Linked DNA regions of Lepisosteus oculatus. Each later gene encodes a partner of the first gene's protein in a complex. Links are inferred from orthologs where the notes say so. Each region holds a gene or a part of one and is shown on either strand. Other genes may lie near its edges.

Region 1 (10,714 bases):
TCCCCCCCTAATTCCAGACAAAATCATTCTAAATATAATTTTATGTAAAGAAAGAAATAACTTCACTCATTTCATCCATAGTCATGTTGACTCTTTGTTAGTTCTGCACTTTATGATTTTTGGAATTTGAGGAAGAGAGTTCATATAAAGTTCATTTAGTTTCTTGCCAGCCTGTGTGTAATGTACAGTATAGTGGGAACCCCTCAATGGCCAATTGTAATAAAAGCCGCCTATAATACAATATGGTATGGGTTTTAGAAAGATACCTCATTCTTGTCCACCTTTTATAGGCTAGGGATCAATGAGACATTGTTTGGACATTGGGCAACAATGGGTCACTTAAAAATGTTCCACAGCAGAAGTCGTGTTTTTATTGTATTTTTTCTAATATGTCAGAAATGAATTAACCCCTACTTGTTCTAGTAAGATAGAATTATGCTTCACTGAATTTCATTGAAATAATGAAAGCAAAACAGAAGTAAGTTAAAGGATATCCTTTGAATTGCATAACATCAAGTTAGCTCCAAGGGAATGTATCTGATGAGATCTGAAATATACACTCCTGTCTCACTATACACAACTGACCTACTGTATATGACAAACCTGTACAGGGTGTCCACTGTTTAAATGGTGGGGGAACAAAAAACACTATTGGACTTGTAACGTTTAGGGGAAATATGGGGTCGCTTTCTATAACCTTTTATTTAATTTGTCTAGGACATTAAAAAAATGCTGCAATAAGGTGACCTGATAATCTCTTATGTATAAACGTGCAGCAGTTGCGAACTAGTGCGGAAAGACATTCAGTTCCGGTTTGTTAAACAAAATGGCAGTGTTGTAACATTCCCCTAAGTTCAGATAATGTAGAAAAGTGCTGTTTGTCAGCCAGAAGTCTTTGCTCGTGTACTCTTGTGAGAGAGATCGCATCCCATTTTTAGAAGTTCCCAGGAAGTTCCCAGGAAATCGCTACTGTACTTTCTCTTAAATGTTAAAAGATCCCATGAAAAGAGGACGATTATTGATTGTGGCTTGCAGCATAAAAATATTTAAATGTTCGATGTCTCCTTTGTTTTTCCCTTGAATGTTTCTTGAATTAAATGGTTGAAGAACCATGAGCATTTAAACCATAAATTGCTGCTGTGCCAGTGTAGGCTGACAGAGGGAGCAGAAAAGACATCTCAGATGCCAAAGCACTCTCCTGACATGCTCCTGGAGACTAACATACCTGCTGGTTTATCATTGTTGATTAGCTTTTTATTTAAATTAAACATTAAGTGAACTGACCAGTTATTTGATTTGAACTTTGGAGGTTTTATATTTTTTGGAACTGAAAACAATTAAAGAGTTCAAATTTGACAATTCAATTATTGGAATACTCAAGTGGGGAGAAAAAACAGCAGGTGTGTGAAGGCTGGGAACCCCTGTCCTACAGCCAGAACAGGAACTGACAGGAATTTCCTTTTTGTGTTACATATTGGCTGTGACACCCTTGATGCCTTGTCAAGCGACCACAGAGGTACCCGGGAGCTGTAGTTTCTTCTGTGCTCTCTGTGACAACAAGTGTTGTTGTTTGAGATTTGCAGCTCTCTTCCTTCACCGTGCTACTGTGTGTTGCACAAATATGTATAAAACATTTTCCAATTCCCTAGTTAAAGGAAAATGGATCTATATGTGATACAAAAAGCATTTATTGTAGTGAAAAGTGATTATAAATGTAATTTTAATTCATTTTTACCACTCGTTCCCTGCCTTTATCTGTCTTGTGTTTATCAAGAACACCCCCACTTTCTGCAGTAAACGAAACTGTGCTGAACTGTACTTTTTCGACTTGGCACTTCCTAGCTTGTGAAAATGTAAAACAAGTCGGGACCAGAAATGTGCATTTGAGAAGTCTGTGTCTGAGACAGCTTGCTTTGGAAAAAAAGAGAAACTTTGAAAGCTTCCATTCGGTTGACCAAATGGTTAAGTGGAATAAATTAAGTGCTTTGTGTGTCTTGCATTAACATACTGTATGTTTTGTCTTCAGGATATCTTGGACAACATGTTACCTGGACATGTTTTTATATTTAAACTTTTTAAAGCCAGAACCAGAAATGAGCTGTTGTTGTCTTTGCATCCTGGAACTCCCAGTTTCTGTACAGTTTTACATGTTTTAACAATGATGTCTGTAGAAGTTTCCCCAAAATAAACATTATGTACAGTACATACCTCAGTTCAGAGCTTTATTGAATTACTGACTCCAGACAAAATGCATGTCCTCAGTGTACTGTGTACTGTAGCAAGTGCTTTTTATTAGGTTACAGATATTTTTTGGGGGGTGGGGGTTAATTTATTTATTTTCCCTTGTCACATTTTTCCATCCCACACATCATCGGCAGCACTGCCCTGCCCAGCAGATGCAGTGTGAAACAGTCTTGCAGGAATGGGGTTGTGGTACAAAGTAGAAGGTACCCTGAAATGTGGATTGATAAAATGACACAGTAAACCAATACTGAAAACAGTTCCCCAAGAAAGACAGAAAGTTTTCAAAAAGAGAAGGTCATTCAGCCCATCTAGCTTTTGTTAGTAGTTAAGTGATCCAAGTATTTTGTTCACCATTTATGTGAACATTTATGTGTCCCTACTGATTTCAGGGCAATATCTTTTATATGACACTGACCAAATTGCATGGCCTACATGAGGCCTTACTAGTGTAGTGTGCTCTCACGAGGCACCAGTTCTGTAGGGGTTTGGGCATTTACTGGGACAATTATTAATTGTGGCAGTAAGTCACAAAATGATTATTTTAATGGCCTTAGAATCCAACCATGCGGTGTAACTCAAACAACGCGCACACACACAGGTACTAATACACGAGGATACATTTATTAATACATAGATTATGCATTTAAACCTAACAGATCTTATCGTGAGGGTCATCAGAATACAAAGATATATGTATATATTCATTCAGTTACAAAGAGTTACACATACCAAGAGGACATACGTTCGGTATATCATTCATTTAGACCGTTTCGTAAATAAACTTGGTTACAACTTCTACATTAGATACTCGAAACAAGTACATAACTCCTAGGAATTAAATTTATATCAACTGGTTGGGATAACAATTGAATTCTCGAGCTGTAATGCAGTGAAGTTGAATACTCATCCAATCTCTGGGGATTCAGATCTCCTGCAGGCACAAAGAAACAGTTGCAGGCTTGTTACTGTCCAATCCGCGATCTCTGGCTCCATGCCAGGTTATGCTGTGTGGCTTGAGAGAAGTTCCTGCGATGTGCTGCTCTCTGAAGACTCGCTAGTTAGTGTTAGCTTTAACAGGCAAAGTTGTGCACAGGAGAAAAGTTACTGTGGGTCCCAGCGGGTCAGGAAGAGGACCGGTTCGTTCGTGATGAAGCACTAGTTCTGAATACTGATTCAGCTGTCCACAGTTCCGACCTGTTCACGAGGCTTGCTGCTGGTGGTAACCTCGGGTGGATCCTTTGGTTACTCGTGGCAACCTCCGCTCTCGACTCTTAGAACAAAGGAAAGTTCTGGCACTCAGACACACTGGCCGTTCTGTGGTGGTCCAGGCTGAGTCTAAGGATGTTCAGGAGGCGCACTGTGAGAATGTCCTGCCCTTGGGAGCCTTTCTGCTCCTGGGCCGTCCTGCCCTGGAATTGTTCTTCCCCCTGGAATTCTTCTTTTTGGAATTCTCCTTCAGGCTCTCTGTGTTGCCTGTTTTTACCTGGAGGAACTTCAGGTTCTTCATTGGCTGAAAGTTTCATGGGCATCAGAGACCCACGTGGGTTACTCGGCCCTACCAGTTCCTGATTGGTTGATCAAGGTGAGATATGAGTCACTTACTCCTGACACTTAGGAATGCAATCCAGATGTCCATCTGGCACTCCCTAGACAGATAGGCGCCAATGGATGACCATTGATCATGATAGCCAGGCTTAGCTAAGTGCATCCCCATTTGGGAGCTGTCCCTTATCAAAAGAAACCTTAAATCAGCCTGCATGAATAGCTTCTCTGTGGCTGCACCACAGAGATGAAGAGAGAGATGGGGCCTCACTGGCAAGGGAGCAGAAAACTTAATTCCTGTATTTTAATAAGCCTCGTCGCTACACTAGCATACCCCAATCAGATTTTAATGTAAAATCCCTTTATTCATTTTCAAAGCTTTTAACTGTATATACTACACGTTTGCTTGCTTTCCTATGTTGTCTGGAAGATGTATTGTAAATAATGTATCAACATGAACACTTAAGACTTTTTCCATAAATACCCTCTTCTAGCTTCCCAAAATGTTTCCCATTTTGCATTTATAGTTTATTTTTACTGCTCGCATGCAGAAACCTGCACTGCGTTACACATGCCAGGTGTTATCAAAATATTTTTGAATTTAATTGACTGTTTCTGCAGTGGTTGCTAAATCTAATTTTTAATCATCTGCAAATTTGACAATTAATTATAGACCATTGATAAAAACCAAGAAGGACAGGGGTTTTAGTTCAAATCTGTGTGATAGTCCTCAAATTACATCACCCCAAATTTGAGTATTCAACCCTTATCTGTATCTTTCTTTTTATTATATCTGTACCCATTACTGTTCAACAATTCTTTGTTCTGAAGAGCACACTCTGTTGATAACCAAACTTTGTGAGGTTTTTTAGAGGCCACGGCACCTCATATGCACATCTGAATGTCATATCCCCTTTAACATAGGTCATTATCCTGGAGGTCCACATACATTTTTCAGCATTGACTGAATGCTTACATAAAGATTTCAATAAAGACATGGAAAAAGTACAATTGTTTGTGTGTAATTTAATCAGAATGTGTTTATTTAGTATGACTAGATGAAGTTCAGATCACACTTTAGGAGCAATTAATGCAGGAATATAGATAATTCCAAAGGGTCTGCTCATAGAATGTAGATGGGCTTGGAGGACAGACAGGAGACCAGAATTAGATGAATGATTCTCCATCATTTTCAGTTTGCCAAGTTTCTGTGATTCCATCCATCCATTTTCTAACCATTTCTTTCAGTTCAGGGTCACAGGGGAGCAAGAGCCTATTGCAGCAAGCAACAGGCACATGGTAGGATATGCTCCGAAAGGGAGACCCGTACATGCCAGTCCATACCACAGGAAGACACAAACACAGACACACACTCGCACCGAAGTCCAATTTTCCCAGTCAATTAACCTACAAGTATGTCTTTAGAATGTGGTAGAAAATCCACACAACCATGGGGAGAACATACAAACTCCATGTAGTAAGCACCACAGGTCCGGCATTGAAGCCAGAGCCCCCGCTCTGTGAGACAGCAATGCTAACCACTGTGCCTCCATGCCACCCTTCTCTGATTCTAATAACATCATAATTTCTTGCTAATGTAGTAGCTTCTATCTCATCTCATTGGTTTTTGATAGTCCGAGCATTAAGGCATAAGCACTTAATTGCCTGATTATTTTCTCTGTTTTTCCTTTTGGTTCTCTCTAGGTCTTTGCTCCCTAAGTAACGTCATGTTTTCTTTGGTTTCTCTCCTCTTTTATTCTAGTTTAAATGTTTCAGAATTTCTTCGTGGATTCTTTTACCAAGACGACTGATGCCCAGCTCTGTGCAGATGTCCTTTACCATGGAAAGATTTCCAGTGCCCCCAGAATCGTCTTCTGTACTCCTTGTACTCATCCTTGTGTTGATTTTAAAGGACTAACGCTTGTACATGTTCATCTTTGCCCAATGCTGGTAGAATTACTGATTTTGTCCTATTCTTCAGTTTCTTGTCATGTTGTTGGAATTTGCTATGTATAGGAATCCCATCTGAATTCTATGCTGTAATTATTTACTTGCTTTCACTGTTGCAATCGTTAGAAATTAGTGTATTTCTTATGTCCTCACGTTTTATTACTGTATAGCTGCAGAGCTCCAACTCAGCACCAGCTCCACATATTGTAAAACGTACAATCTCTTTATGTAACCTTTTCTCCTTTGAAAATTGTGTTCATACTTTTTTCAAAGAGGTTTTAATTATCACTCTGTTCTTTGCGAATCACATTTTAGGGATTATCCAAAATGTTGACCGGCGCTTATACTCCATACTTTGCGGTGCAACAGTACATCATGACGTAGACGGGCACATGCGTATTTGAATGAGTGTGTAAGCAACATGGCGGGGACCAGTTCTGTGGCCGGTGAAGTTTTTGTGGACGCTTTACCTTATTTTGACCAGGGTTACGATGCTCCTGGTGTCCGGGAGGCGGTAAGAACTGTGTGCTTGAATTGTAATTTCAAAGACTTGGTTCTAGCAGCTGCTGGAGCAGTTGAGGAAAGCCGATCAGTCATTCGTGGTTAGAGGCAGGCACGCATTGTCTCCAGTGCCATCTCCAAGAATGGTTTGAGCTTATGCTATAAGTTATAGATGGTTAGCAAGTGCTCGTCCAGAACATACAGAAACCTGCCACTCCCTCCCTTAAGTTGTTTTTTTCCATGCATTCAAGCTCTATTTTCTTTATATTGTTGTTATATTTGTATAGGGCGACATTTGTTTTACGACACAACAATACAACAGAAACAGAACAACAAGTAATACAGGACAAGTGTTTCAAGATTAAAGAGTTATTTGACATTAGAACAAGCAAAGCTTTATTCCATGCTAGGAAATAGAAGAATAGAAACAACGTTTCTATTGTCTGGGAGTGCATAGGGGGTCTATTGCAGAGGCATCTCCAAGATGGAGGAGTGTGAATGCCGTTTCATCAAGTGAGACAGGATATAAAAATACTTTAAAAAGTGTCCATAGGCTATTGACAGTAGTGTCACACACTCCATGATGCTCTTAACTTTCTTTACAACCCTCTCTTTATTTCTCTTTGTTTATTATTATCTTTTGAGAGAAATGTGTTCAGTATAGCAATAAAATAAGGAAGATAAAAATTACCAGCAGAGGAAATGGTACAGGAGATAAGAATTACTTTGGAATTGCTTTCCAAATTGTTTTCAAGAGAGTTTGCAGTGAGTATAAAAGATAAATTCTATTACTTTTACACCTGGGGGCACACTCTGGGAGTTGGAGGCATTTAGGTTGATCTGATTTTCCTCAATTATGTTGCCGTTTATCTTTACTGATTTCCCCTACCTGTTACAATTTGCGGTATCGATGTTGCCGAGCCAACAAGTGAGACTAGTATGTAAAAACGCTTTCGATCAAGTTTCCATGGGCTGTTCTCGGTGGTGTCGCATGGCTTTTGAACCATGACAGGGCGGGCTAGGGCATAAAAAAGTAGCACAAAGGTAAAGTGAAGAGGAATGTGCTCCACTCCATTGGTTGTGTGTAGTTGTATAATATTAGTGATACGGGCTGTTAACTTGCTGCTTGAAGAAATACTGAGTTCCAGTGCAGAAACGCATGATGTGAAATGAGAAAACATGATGAAGTGCCGCTGCCTGGAGGACAGTGTGCTTATGATTGTGTTCTGTCGTGCCATGCTTGGGGTTACCTGATAAAGAGAGTGTTCTGTATTCCATGGTCCTGGAGTAGTGCCGAGTCATTCTGCGTCGTCCTGGTGACAAGGTTGGGTATAAGGAAAGTGGCGTGACTGTTCTGAATGATCTTGTCTTCTCAGGCCGCTGCTTTGGTGGAAGAGGAAACCCGCAGGTACAGACCCACTAAAAATTACCTGAGTTATCTTCCCACACCAGACTTCGCTGCATTTGAGGTGAGTGTACGACCCCCGTTGAGGCTGGAGCACTGCAGGCCCACACCAGCATGCTGTTGTTGCTGACTCCAGACTAACTGAAATGTGACTGCTGGGGGCTCAGTGGAAAAGGGGAAGACTGTTCTACATGGTCCCTTGGTGGAGCACCTCCATTAGCTATTCTCTTCCCTGCCAAGGTTGCATCTCTTTGCCTTGTAGTAAGAAAAACAAATTCTTGGGTTATCTTTGCCTGAAGGTTGTAAGGTCTAATGAGATCTATCCCATTTGTTATAAAATGGGATGAAAGTTTTGTGAGAGTCGCAAGAATTTTATATTGGGAAGGCTTTTGTTGGCTACATCTCTTGCAACTTTCATCCCTGTCATCGAGTGTGCATTAGATGACAATTAAAGCTCTCACTTTGTTACATTATTTAAACTCTTTGCCCTTTATTTGTTTTCTCTCTGGTATATTCTGAAATAAGTTTTCTGGCTGTTTTGATGCAAGAGGCACCATGAAACAGAAGTGATAAAGAATAGCCTGGCCTGGTTAAGAATACTGCAGTGCCATGGTCATGTTGGTGCAGAGAATTATTGTCTAATTCTCTTCTCTCAACAGACCGAAATAATGCGCAACGAGTTTGAGAGGTTAGCAGCCCGACAGCCTATGGAGCTCCTCAGCATGAAGAGGTACTGTTTCATTTGGACACCTATGCTTTAGATTTTTTTTCCCTGTGGTCATCCTGCAGAAAACGTTTTGGTTATACATTGAAAACTTGCTCTTTAATTTTTTTTTTTATAAGAATTTATGCTTTTTCAATTGAAACTTCAGGCTCCCTGTATATGGTCTGGTAAGGAGAAGAGCATCAATTCAGAATGTGTTTGTATACAGTACTGGCTTCCCCACATCCTCTCCATGTCCTTGGTACATGTCAGCAGTAAGGATAGGTGTGCACTGGCAGGCCACTCTTCTACAGTTTTTATTGGTTTCTTTAAATCAGTAGCGAATGACTTGATATCACTGTTTATATTCCTTGCTTCATTAACAAAATAGTTTGCTGTTAAGCAATATTCGCAAGGTATCAAACTCCTCAAATGAGTTTCGTTTGAGGTTTCACAATTATTTTTATTTTCTTTTTCACTTGTTGTTTTTCAGCCTCTGTAAGCCGTTTATATTTCTAATACTTCATTTCTGTTACCTTGCTTGTGGGTTTGTTGGGAATGTCTAATCAGGCCAAGGGTTTGAGTGCAGTTGTGCTGAAGCCATGACCCTGTTTGATCTGGACAGGTACGAGCTGCCCGCTCCCTCTTCGGGTCAGAAGAATGACATCACAGCCTGGCAGGATTGCGTCAATAACTCAATGGCCCAGCTGGAGCACCAAGCAGTGCGGATCGAGAACCTGGAGCTCATGTCCCAGTATGGCAGCAATGCCTGGAAGGTCTACAATGAGTGAGTGATGATGCGAAACAAGGGCTGTAAAACCTTCTATTTTGTATATTAAATCCAAGAGGGCGGTAGAGAGCGTAACAGGCTGGGGACTGACTATCACGCCTGAGCAGGAGAGAGAGGAGTGTAGAGTTTATCACATCCTCCTCACTTATTTTCTCTTTCACATCCTCTCTTTCAATCCTCGCTTCCTTTTCCAGCACTAACGAGACAAACTTTACATTTCATTCTTCTCATTCTGCAACATACCAGTGATGTGACCTTTTTGATCACTTGTATGTGTTTTTTCTTACAGAGACCTGCTGCACATGATTGAAATGTCTCAGAAGGAGCTGCAGAGATTGAGGTGAGGCCCTTATTTTATTGTCTCTCCTTATCCTGTTGCACCTGTGACGTCTCCTTCAGTGGTAGTATAAAAAAAGTGTTATACTGGTTGGGTTATTTAACATTGTTACCCATGGCAACACTGAATAACGGAATGAAATGCAAAACATTGTACTTAAATCGTATGGTTTGGGAAAAAAACTGAAGAATGAGTCAAAACAGCTTGTTCATGTGTCCAAATGATACATTTTGAACAAATCTTACCATGTCAGTATGGAAAAAATAGATAGCAGCATGAAATACTATAAATTCATTCTCACAACTCACAGATTTTCTTGTAACCATCCTGATGAGCAGTTGTATCTAAAAGCATGTTTGTGCTGCTTTCATATGAAGTCATTTTTATTACAGAGCTCACTTTTGGATATTTCTCAAGGAATTGTAACAGACAGATTGTTACCCATCCCTTTTCAACTGCTTTTCAGGTCTTCATAAGGCACTTGGATTTGATCCAATGTTCTGTCTTCTGTAGTTACTGTTCTGTAATCAAAGCAACAGATCATCCAGTATAGCCATTTTCATCTGTGACTGCAGAAAATGCTTGTTGAGCTTCCTGTTTTGGCTGAAACATTTTCAGGTTTTAAACAGCTCAGCCTTTGAGGACCACCAGGAGTCCTCCAGTCCCCAATGTGGGAAGGAAGGAGGTTCACAGCAGAGCAGGACAGCACTTCTTCACTCCCTGGGCTTGTGAAGGGGAACTGAGCCGAAACACAACTTGGCTTAGTCTGGATTTGAATCAAAACATTTCTGGTGGTTGAATGTAGAGTGATTTCTACATTGTGTTTTAAGAAATCTGGTGCTTGTCTAAGTCAAAGTGTAAAAGCCTAACTTTGTTGCTCTTACGTGCCATCCCATCAAAAAGGGAACATCGTTCAGCAGTGTTGATTTGTGTTGAATGTAATTTTGCATTTTTCCTCCCCATCTCAGGAAGCAGATTCAGGATCTGAACTGGCAGAGGAAGAACGAGCAGCTGACGGGAGGCGCAAAACTGCGGGAGCTGGAGTCCAAGTCAGTACCCATGCTAATGTCCTCATAGTCACTGACACAGCAAAGTGCTTAAAGCCGCCGGATATTTTTACAGAAGCAGAAAAAAAGTATTACTTTTTTGGAGCCTTAAACAACCTTAACCTTTGAATTCAAGAAAACGTAGACCGATTAAACCAAACTATATTGAATAGGCGTGTTTACTGATCTGGACCTT
Region 2 (10,404 bases), on another chromosome or scaffold:
ACCTGTCTGGACTTGGTCTCCTCCGCCCTGTCTGTAAACCCGTCCTAACCCTGCTGTATCTTTCCCTGATGTCCTTCTCCAGACCCTTCTGGATTATACCGTCCTGCATAGGGACTCCATGGGAGTCTGACCCGGGCCCCTTGACAATGTCATGTCATTTACCAAACCGCTTTATTCCACAGGGTGGTGTGGGAAGCCGGAGCCTTACCCTCTAAGCAATGAGCGCAAGGCAGGGTACACCCTGGATGGGACGCCAGCCCATCACAGGGCAAGAGCAAGCCAATCATACATGGGGACAATTTGGAGGCCACGGTAAAAGGAGGGGGGGGGGAATTTGGCCCGGACACCAGGATAGCTCCCTACTCTTACTACTCTACCCTATGCCAACAGCTACATCACCCTGCAACTCACAACTGGCGACCCAGCAGGTGTAAGCCTGGTCAGTACCTGGATGGAAGACCTCCTGGGAAAGGTTGCTGCTGGAAGAGGTGTTATTGGGGCCAGCAGGGGGCGCTCACACTACGGTCTGTGTGGGCCCTAATGCCCCAGTTTAGTGACGAGGACACTATACTGTAAACAGGCGCTGTCCTTCGGATGAGACGTAAAACCAAGATCCTGAGGTCTGTGGTCATTAAAAATCCCAGGGCATTTCTTGAAAAGAGTAGGGGTGTAACCCCGGTGTCCTGGCCAAATTTTCCATTGGCCCTTACCAGTCATGGCCTCCTATAATCCCCATCTATGAATTGGCTTCATTACTCTGCTCTTCTCCCCACTGATAGCTGATGTGTGGTGAGTGTACTGGTGCAATATGGCTTACAGTGCCTTGCGAAAGTATTCGGCCCCCTTGAACTTTTCAACCTTTTGCCACATTTCAGGCTTCAAACATAAAGATATACATTTTTTATTTTATGTGAAGAATCACCAACAAGTGGGACACAATTGTGAAGTGGAACGAAATCTATTGGATTTTTGAAACTTTAACTAATAAAAAAAATGAAAAGTGGGGCGTGCAAAATTATTCAGCCCCCTTGCGTTAATACTTTGTAGAGCCACCTTTTGCTGCGATTACAGCTGCAAGTCGCTTGGGGTATGTCTCTATCAGTTTTGCACGTCGAGAGACTGAAATTCTTGCCCATTCTTCCTTGCAAAACAGCTCGAGCTCAGTGAGGTTGGATGGAGAGCGTTTGTGAACAGCAGTTTTCAGCTCTTTCCACAGATTCTCGATTGGATTCATGTCTGGACTTTGACTTGGCCATTCAAACACCTGGAAACGTTTATTTGTGAACCATTCCTTTGTAGATTTTGCTGTATGTTTGGGATCATTGTCTTGTTGGAAGATAAATCTCCGTCCCAGTTTCAGGTCTTTTGCAGACTCCAACAGGTTTTCATCCAGAATGGTCCTGTATTTGGCTGCATCCATCTTCCCCTCAATTTTAACCATCTTCCCTGTCCCTGCTGAAGAAAAGCAGGCCCAAACCATGATGCTGCCACCACCATGTTTGACAGTGGGGATGGTGTGTTGAGGGTGATGAGCTGTGTTGCTTTTACGCCAAACATATCGTTTTGCATTGTGGCCAAAAAGTTCGATTTTGGTTTCATCTGACCAGAGCACCTTCTTCCACATGTTTGGGGTGTCTCCCAGGTGGCTTGTGGCAAACTTTAGACGAGACTTTTTAATGGATATCTTTGAGAAATGGCTTTCTTCTTGCCACTCTTCCATAAAGGCCAGATTTGTGCAGTGTAAGACTGATTGTTGTCCTATGGACAGACTCTCCCACCTCAGCTGTAGTTCTCTGCAGTTCATCCAGAGTGATCATGGGCCTCTTGGCTGCATCTCTGATCAGTCTTCTCCTTGTCTGAGCTGAAAGTTTAGAGGGACGGCCAGGTCTTGGTAGATTTGCAGTGGTCTGATACTCCTTCCATTTCAAGATGATCGCTTGCACAGTGCTCCTTGGGATGTTTGAAGCTTGGGAAATCTTTTTGTATCCAAATCCGGCTTTAAACTTCTCCACAACAGTATTACGGACCTGCCTGGTGTGTTCCTTGGTCTTCATGATGCTCTCTGCGCTTTCAACAGAACCTTGAGACTATCACAGAGCAGGTGCATTTATACAGAGACTTGATTACACACAGGTGGATTCTATTTATCACCATCAGTCATTTAGGACAACATTGGATCATTCAGAGATCCTCGCTGAACTTCTGGAGTGAGTTTGCTGCACTGAAAGTAAAGGGGCCGAATAATTTTGCACGCCCCACTTTTCATTTTTTTATTAGTTAAAAAAGTTTCAAAAATCCAATAGATTTCGTTCCACTTCACAATTGTGTCCCACTTGTTGGTGATTCTTCACATAAAATAAAAAATGTATATCTTTATGTTTGAAGCCTGAAATGTGGCAAAAGGTTGAAAAGTTCAAGGGGGCCGAATACTTTCGCAAGGCACTGTATATATCCAGGTGGGGCTGCACATTGGTCGTGGTAGAGGGGAGTCTCCATAATCTGTAAAGGGCTTTGAGTGGTGTGTCCAGAAAAGTGGTTTATAAGTGTAAGCAATTATTATTATTACTTTTATGGATAAATGGCCAGGGGATCTTTAAAATTTCAGTTATGCCAAAAGAATTTACAATAGTATTTGATGCTAGCCTTAGGGGGATCATTACTCTCTTTAGGGGCTACTGCAGAACCTATAATTACTAAACCAATAAATTAACACCTAGCGTTTTGTTGGGTAGTGTTAACATTTTAGAAAAGAAATGTAACAATAATTATATAAGGAACACATGTTTACCAATTACATTCCACCTGCAAAGACTAATTGGATCTCAAATTATAATATAAAATAGCAGAAAGTATGTATTGTCTTACCAATGAAATTAAAGAAGTGTCATCTAAAATTATTCTTAGAATTTATCCTGTTGAACAAATATTATCCAATATTTAAACTCAAATTAGATTATCAATATTTATTTTTTAACATGAATAAAGAAACAAAGAAAATCTTACACTCTGCTTTATTTTACCCTCACACATATGGATCAAAATTGTATATTAATAAGAAAGCTAATGCTGATTATGGGGGGATACAATAGCCATAAAATGCAATTGACAAAGTCTTTTCCAAATTTTAATCTGTTTAAAATAGAAATGGAATTTTACATTAAAACCATTCAGAACATTTAAAATAAGTAAGTTAACCAAAGTTATGTGAAATTAGTTTTAGAAAGTAATTGGTTATCCCTGTCAATTCGTATCATGTATGCATGCTTTATTTAATTTAATGTTTCTTATTGTTGTATGTTTTTTGTTACTCATAAATAAAGCATTTAAAAAGCATAGGGTACTTTGCCTAGATAGCATGATTGCTATCTAGTTCTCTGAGTGCTGGTTACAAAACATGTCAGTGTGATAGTTTTCTGTAGATCACTTCTGCTCTTTCATGTTAAAAATGTGTCTGTCTGTCATCAATTTACACTGAGCCCTCATTATCATTTCAGTTTTGATTGTGACATAGAGCAATTGTCACTAACATTTTATCAAAGCCTTTACTTAATTTTAAATATCTGAGTCCAATCCACCATACTATCTTCTTTATTCAAGACTTGTGGTCTCCCTTCTTTAAACGTTTTCCAGGGAGCAGGCATTTTCATATAATATGATGACCAAAAATGTAATATTAGTTTTGGTTGAGTGGGAGATTAGTCATTAGCTTCACTGATACCCTTGGATATATTGTAAACCAGAATTTATGAGAATGTATGAGTTTTAGTGGGGTGCAATCACACATTATTTGTAATAATACACCTATTGAAATCCAATATCAATATACACTGTCCTTGACAATATGCGACAACAATATTTCAGAAAGGGGCATCTGAAAGGAAGCTGATGGAGGAGTTTTTTCATACACATTATGCATTTCTATAGATCTCAAAGTCATCATGTCAACAATGTGCCTGTGTTTTCGAAACGCCGAGCGAGACTATACATTTCATGGGTCCAGGATTGAGTGGTGAATGGAGAGCCCTTTTCAAAGAAAAACAAAAAGGAGAAAAAAACTAGAAACAATTTAATTGCGCGAGGTGATAAGCCAGTAGATTGCTATTGTAATTCACAGCATACTGCTGAGTGTCCTTGAATCTGTGTTCCCCAGAGGACGCGTCCTTCCTCTCGTGCTTTCTGTAAGGCCACGGTGTTGGCACAGTGTTCTTACACTGACAACAGGCAGGAGATACAAGAATCGAAAACAAAAAACTAGTTTGTTTCCATAGTGCACAGCCAGGCTCCTTGCATTTTAAGTCCTGTGAATATCTTCATTATATAAATGAGATGGAGGATTAAACTAAGTTTAGATATTGGTCTGAAGCACATACTGTATTACTGGGTTTCAGGAGTTTTATACAAGTGTTGTTAGTCACTGTGATATTTACAGTTCTCCATTCAAGTTCTATCTATTTTGTGTATTATTCACAAAATTGAAGGTTTTTATAAAAATACTTCGCATTCAAATGAGGGCATGAATTTGCTATGACCAGAAATATGTGCAGAAAGTGCACATTCCACAAACAGAGAATAAACTAGAGGACAAACCTATAGAATTTGCTTGCTATAGATCTGACACCCAGGCCAAAACATTTGTCCTAATAGCTTGTTCATTTTTACTGCATGAGTTACTGTATAAGGGTGCTGTGGTTTATTTTGGATGGGAGGACATCATGTCGGCTTCTTCTGTATCCACCCTTTCCAGAGATTGTGCTGATTTTGGAACCATCTTTAAAAGGTGCAGTACAAATGAGATTTAGGTAATGTGAGGCAGAGAGAAATAAGCAGGAGGATTGCGTGGTGTCTTTCAGAACCAGTTCAAACGGAAACAAAGTTAAAACAATCATCTATTTTTTTTTTACTTAAACCTCCTTCTGGATGGAGAACGATTAGACATGTTAGTAATGTTCTGTTACTAATGTTAGTAATGTTTTTCTCCATGAAATCCATGAAAGACAGGCAGAGTACCGATGCGTATACCCGACTGTTATACAAGATGATTATGAAGGGAAATGTTTCATTCGGAGTGAGAAATTGCATGATCACTTATAGAACCCCATTTGTAGCTGTAAAATATAAATTATTTTTCAGCATTAAAAGACAGCTTTACTTCCATTTTTATTATTGTATTTTGGAGCAGGACATATAATTTAATTGTCCGAAAGCAGGTTAAGCAAATTTAGGAAGAAATGTTAATGCCCTCACTTTTTATCAAGGCATTTTGTATGTTTTTAAAATGATCGTATCGCTACTCTAATAGGTTTAAATTGGGTATAAGATCGCACCAATTAAGAAAAAATGATAACGATGCCAATTTGCTGCGTACAAAAGGATTAGTGAATCTGGACCCTAATTTGCCTATAAATTGCTAATAGTGTAAGCATTTATTAAGTGAGCACAAGTACGAAAAACTACCGAAATTTTCTTCAAAAAATAAGAATCCAAAATTTCGCAAGAACGTTAGGAAATAAAAGGTTAAAAATCAACCTTTCACCGGTACAAGTAAAACTAATGTACAGTACATTTTGACTCACGGCACAAACGCTGTCTGTCGCACAACAAACGCATTTTGCGTCAGTGGGATAATTTGATTTACGGCAGCGTGGTACTTTTTAAAATTTCTTGGAGCATCGATGATTCAGTTCGCCGGTGGGATTTAAAACTTGTTTATTTAGAAGAACGTTGACTTATTCGTTGTTTTTTAAGTATTCACCATGGATGTAGGTGAACTTTTGAGTTATCAGGTAAATATATAATATATAACTTGTTTACGCGTGTTCGGAAATGAACTTACAGCGCTAGGCCGTGGTTTGTATCTGAGTAGAACCGTTTCTTGAGTGTAAATAAATACATTGTGGAAGAACAATTTGTGTGTATTTACGTATTTTGAGAAAAGTTCAATTTCCAGTGTGTTTAGAAAAAAAGTGCAGCGTCTTTGTTTTTAGATTAAGGTATTGTGATTGCTATATGTGGTGCTTAAACTAGTTCTGTTTTGTTTGCGTTTAAGTGCTTTGCTCCAGACACTGTCTAGCATATTTTCTCAATTAACTGTTTTTTTCCGTCTCTCTTCTCTTGAGCAAAGGAAAATATGTTGATGTGGCTGAACGGTAGCACAGAGAGAGTGTTACCTGATTTCTCTTTTACTGACACTGGGTGTACGTGGTCTTGACCGTCCCCGGTAGTTACTTCTGGTAGTATACATACATTATAAGAATTGTCAGAGATGATCAATTATAATCAGTCGAAGTCTTTGAAATCTCATTTCAGTTATTGAGGAGCCTTCAGGAGTGAGGGAGAGTAAAAGTGTAAGGATATAAAGTAAAGAAGAGTTGCTTTGTGCTTCAATGGTATGATTTGTCCACAACCATCGAACACCCAAGACCAAATAAAACAGGGTCTTCAGGACATAAATTGGACATACCAATTACTTTGACAATTAAGACAGATTTAAAATAATTATTATTAATAATAACGTGGTAAGAGAATATTTCAAAGATAAACAAAATCACTGAAGCATCCCCAACATGAATGACATATCTGTTAAATGTGATTAATAACAGCTTGGAGATTATAAATAAAGAAATATTGTAAAATGCCATCTGCCTTGAAAAAAAGGAACCTGAATGGCCAACTTGAAAGGATGAGTTCATCCAAGCAAAAACAAAACCCAAACGCTTTTTTGGTCTGTTGTTAGTAGTAAAAGAAATGTTTAACATAACATCACTTTATTAGTCCTATACAATTTCTTGCATTAGGAATTTGTCTTTTCACATACCCCAGCTCTCCATGAGATACAGACACAGACAGGGAGAGAGAAGCTTGGGGTCAGAGCCCCTGCAGTAATTTGGGTTAAGGGCCTTGCTCAGAAGGTTTTGCAGTTATGATCATTATCACAAAACACAATATACACATTCATAACTTTATAATATAAATTGGAAGTATTAGAAATTGAAGTATTAGTAAAAAATCATAATGGAATGAATCCAGATCGTGTAAACCCAAGGGTTCTTAGAAATCAATGATATCATTCACAAAGATGATCAGGAGATAATAAGAAGCGCTGTGTAAAATCAGATGAAGGCAGATGTCTCATCAGATAATAAAATAAAGAATTAAATTCATTATTAGTCAGCATAGAGTGTTGTGTATACGTAAGAAGAGTATATGACTTCATTCTACCATGAGAGGTGCAGAATTAGAAAAACACCTCATAAATTTGTAAAATTATTGTGTCTAATCTTTTCACATAAGCTCTTAACAAAAGGCAAACAGAATGCTTGGCTACCTAGCAAGTCAAAAGCAGTTATGTAGAAACTCTGCAATGCATTAGTGAGGTCCCCATTGTTTTACTGCATACAGTCCTGTTCACCACTTTAGGAAGGAGATCAGGAAGCATTAGAGAAGGTCTAATAAAGAGCCGAAAGACCCATTATAGTGCATAGATGTGTTATGAGGATAAGCTGAATTCCAATAGTTATTTTAAGATTTATGTTGGAGACATATTTGGCTTGTAACCTATTTCCAGTTCTGCACCAAAAAGAAAATAAGCTTGTTTTGCATATCAGTGCAGGAATCGGTGCATTACAGGAACACATAATGGTGGCAGAGAGTCTGGAACTTTCGATAAATGTGAAGTAGTAGATCACATTAATAGATATTGAACATATTTGTAAAATGTGTGTAATGAAGAATAAATGAGAAAACAACCCCTCCCAGTGTCAGACAGACCAAATTTGATGGCAGCCACCTTAGCTGTATTTTAACAGTTTCATGGGTAGTGTGAAGAGTTGCTTTACAATTAGGATTTTAAATATAGGGTCTTCATGATGCATTTTAAATTGCCCATTTTTTTAAAAACGTGAGTCAATTTCTGAAAGAGAAGAAGGAGGAGACTTGATCACCTGAGGATGAGGGTTACAAAAGTGATCATGACAAAATCGTGGGTTTCAGATAAAAGCTAGCCAGGCGACTTTACCCCAGAGGAACCCCCGAGAGTCCCAGATGGACAGCAGCTTTTCATGTGTCATGTCATGTCATTTGGGACATGTTTTCCTTTCATGCAAGAGACTGGAGGTGTTCACACAGTTACATCACCAGTGGCTGATGGCTGCTGTTCCTCCTGTAACTCCACTCCTATATATTACTTGTTACAGCAGTGGCACTGTCAGTGTAAACAGCAGCATGTCTCCCTTTCAGTGATTCAGCTTTCACAACATCATCCAGCAATTTCAGCATTTCCTCAGCAGTCTGTTCTGGTAACATCTGACAGTCTTGGAGGATTTTCTTTTTTACCCCCCAGTCAAATATAAGCTAGTCATTTCACTGCATCACCACCATCCGTTGCCTCATCAGACTGAAGTATAAACTGTTCACGTTTGTCTTTTAGTGAGCTGGCATTCTGCATCATTTGACAGCTCCTCAGACAGTTTGCTTACCTACTGTCGTTAGAAAGTGCTATAGCCTCAGTTTACTTTGCTTACCACTACTTCACACATTTTCACAGCAGCTGGAAGAGTATTTTTCTCCAATGGTGTGGGATTTTTTTTTTAACTTTTAGCAGCCCAGAGAACTTGCTTTCATAGATGCTTTCAGAGCGTTTTCTGGAATTGTGGTCTTTGTTTTTTCTCGTTGACTACGTTCTGGATTGATGTCCTGTGCATGGGAAGACTCTATGCTCTGTGCTTATGCATTAGTTTGGGGATGTTTTAAAAACCTGTTCGTTTTGTATGCCATTGACTCACTTTCTGTAAAAAAATTCTTCAGTATTCCCCTGCCAAAATCCGAGTTCAGTGCTCGTTTCGTGCCACAAAGCAGTAAGATTTTATTATGTTGATGGTTGGGGACTACGGACCATCTACACCACCATGTAAACAGAAATAGCAGCTTAGTCACTTTTGTTAGGCCACTCTGACAAGGTGGGATTCTTTATACTTTGTCTTTATTTTGTAGACCCCACTTGAAGCCTTGTAGCCTCAAGGATGTTTGGCATCCACGGACTATGGTTTGAGATACACTGGTCTAGAGACAAATACTTGAAATTAAAAGTAATCGAAATAGAAGGTAAGATGAAGAGAGTTACAGTCATCTTAGCATGTGCTGAAAAATATTAGTAAGATATGATATTCTGAATACTTGATAAAGTGACACCAAACATGAATCTCATTGCTAAAGCCGAGGAATGAGTGGAAATTAGATTAGATTCAGAATATATAGTATGAATCTATTTACAAAGAGCTGTGGCTGCTGGAATTTGCTGTTGTATTGTGTGCATGTTGCCTCATTAGAATTTGTCAATAAAATACTTGATAAGGCTTTGGGATCATTTGGGCTATAGATAGACTGAACAAAAAGAAAGATTAGGTTTTCTGTGTAATCTCTATATGCGTTCACCAAAGTATTTTAACTGATTGTTGCACAATAGTGGTTTTCTTTCTGTAGACTTTCATTTCAGGTTCCTAATTGCTAATGGACTGTTTTATCAAGTTAGCATTGATAGTTCTAAACTATACTTGTTTAAGGCCTTAAAATAAAAGATCTTGGAAGCTTATGAACAGGGGTCGAAGGATCGATTAGCTATAGATCGGAATCGGCAGATTTCCATTCTAAATATGTGACCGGCGTGTGCCTTGGAATGAAAACATATCATCCGTCTGGCAGTTTTCATTCCAGGTCAAGCCAATATGTTTGTAAAACTAACCTTTCTCGTGGCAGGGGCAACACAAAGAATTTTAATACAACTAACCTGACACAACACTTGAGAGCACATCACCTGCCCAAGTACAGTGAGTATCAGAAACTAGCATAGCTAGCAAAAACGGATAAAGCTACACCGACGTTAAGACAACCGTCAGTGCAGGCGACACTTGAGAGATAACAGCAAAAGTATAACAGCAATGGCCCGAAAGCAAAAGGAATCACGACCAAAATAATGGAATTTATTGCGCTAGATAACCAGCCATTTTCGGTTATTGAAGATGTAGGATTCTACTGCTTGATATCTCACCTAGAGCCATACTATCTAGGTTGGAAATACTTTTCAGATTATGGCCTTTTGCCTTAATTGGATAAAAGAACTGTTAGACTGCAGCTTGTTACTTCATGTGGGTGGTTGTAACAATCATTGTCTTACTTGTTAGTAAAACAATGTAAGTTTCTACCATCTTTTGTGTCTTTGGCTGGATAGTAACACACCAACCACCTGACAGAAAGTGACGATCGGTATGGGCCTCACAAAACGCTCATCGGTCCATCTCTACTTATGAAAAACGTGGGGGACATAAGGGAAGGGGACAGCTACTGTACAATGGCATTTTCTATAATAAAGTCCTCAAACACAAAGAGTCAATAAAGTGACATTTCTTAAAT

What was found. The genes of interacting proteins can lie anywhere in the genome.
Region 2: bcas2 (region 1) and ctnnbl1 share a complex: the UniProt entries of both Homo sapiens proteins name them as parts of the PRP19-CDC5L splicing complex. The link is inferred for Lepisosteus oculatus from reciprocal best matches to the Homo sapiens genes BCAS2 and CTNNBL1.

What each region holds. Positions count from the first base shown.
Region 1 is NC_090700.1:32,450,664-32,461,377, forward strand, and holds the start of bcas2 (pre-mRNA-splicing factor SPF27), read left to right. Parts: upstream 1-6,136; 5' UTR 6,137-6,157; coding exon 6,158-6,250; intron 6,251-7,613; coding exon 7,614-7,706; intron 7,707-8,301; coding exon 8,302-8,372; intron 8,373-8,970; coding exon 8,971-9,132; intron 9,133-9,424; coding exon 9,425-9,475; intron 9,476-10,440; coding exon 10,441-10,521; intron 10,522-10,714. UniProt on the Homo sapiens protein: Required for pre-mRNA splicing as component of the activated spliceosome. Component of the PRP19-CDC5L complex that forms an integral part of the spliceosome and is required for activating pre-mRNA splicing.
Region 2 is NC_090711.1:14,929,169-14,939,572, reverse strand, and holds the start of ctnnbl1 (beta-catenin-like protein 1), read left to right. Parts: upstream 1-5,606; 5' UTR 5,607-5,753; coding exon 5,754-5,783; intron 5,784-10,404. UniProt on the Homo sapiens protein: Component of the PRP19-CDC5L complex that forms an integral part of the spliceosome and is required for activating pre-mRNA splicing.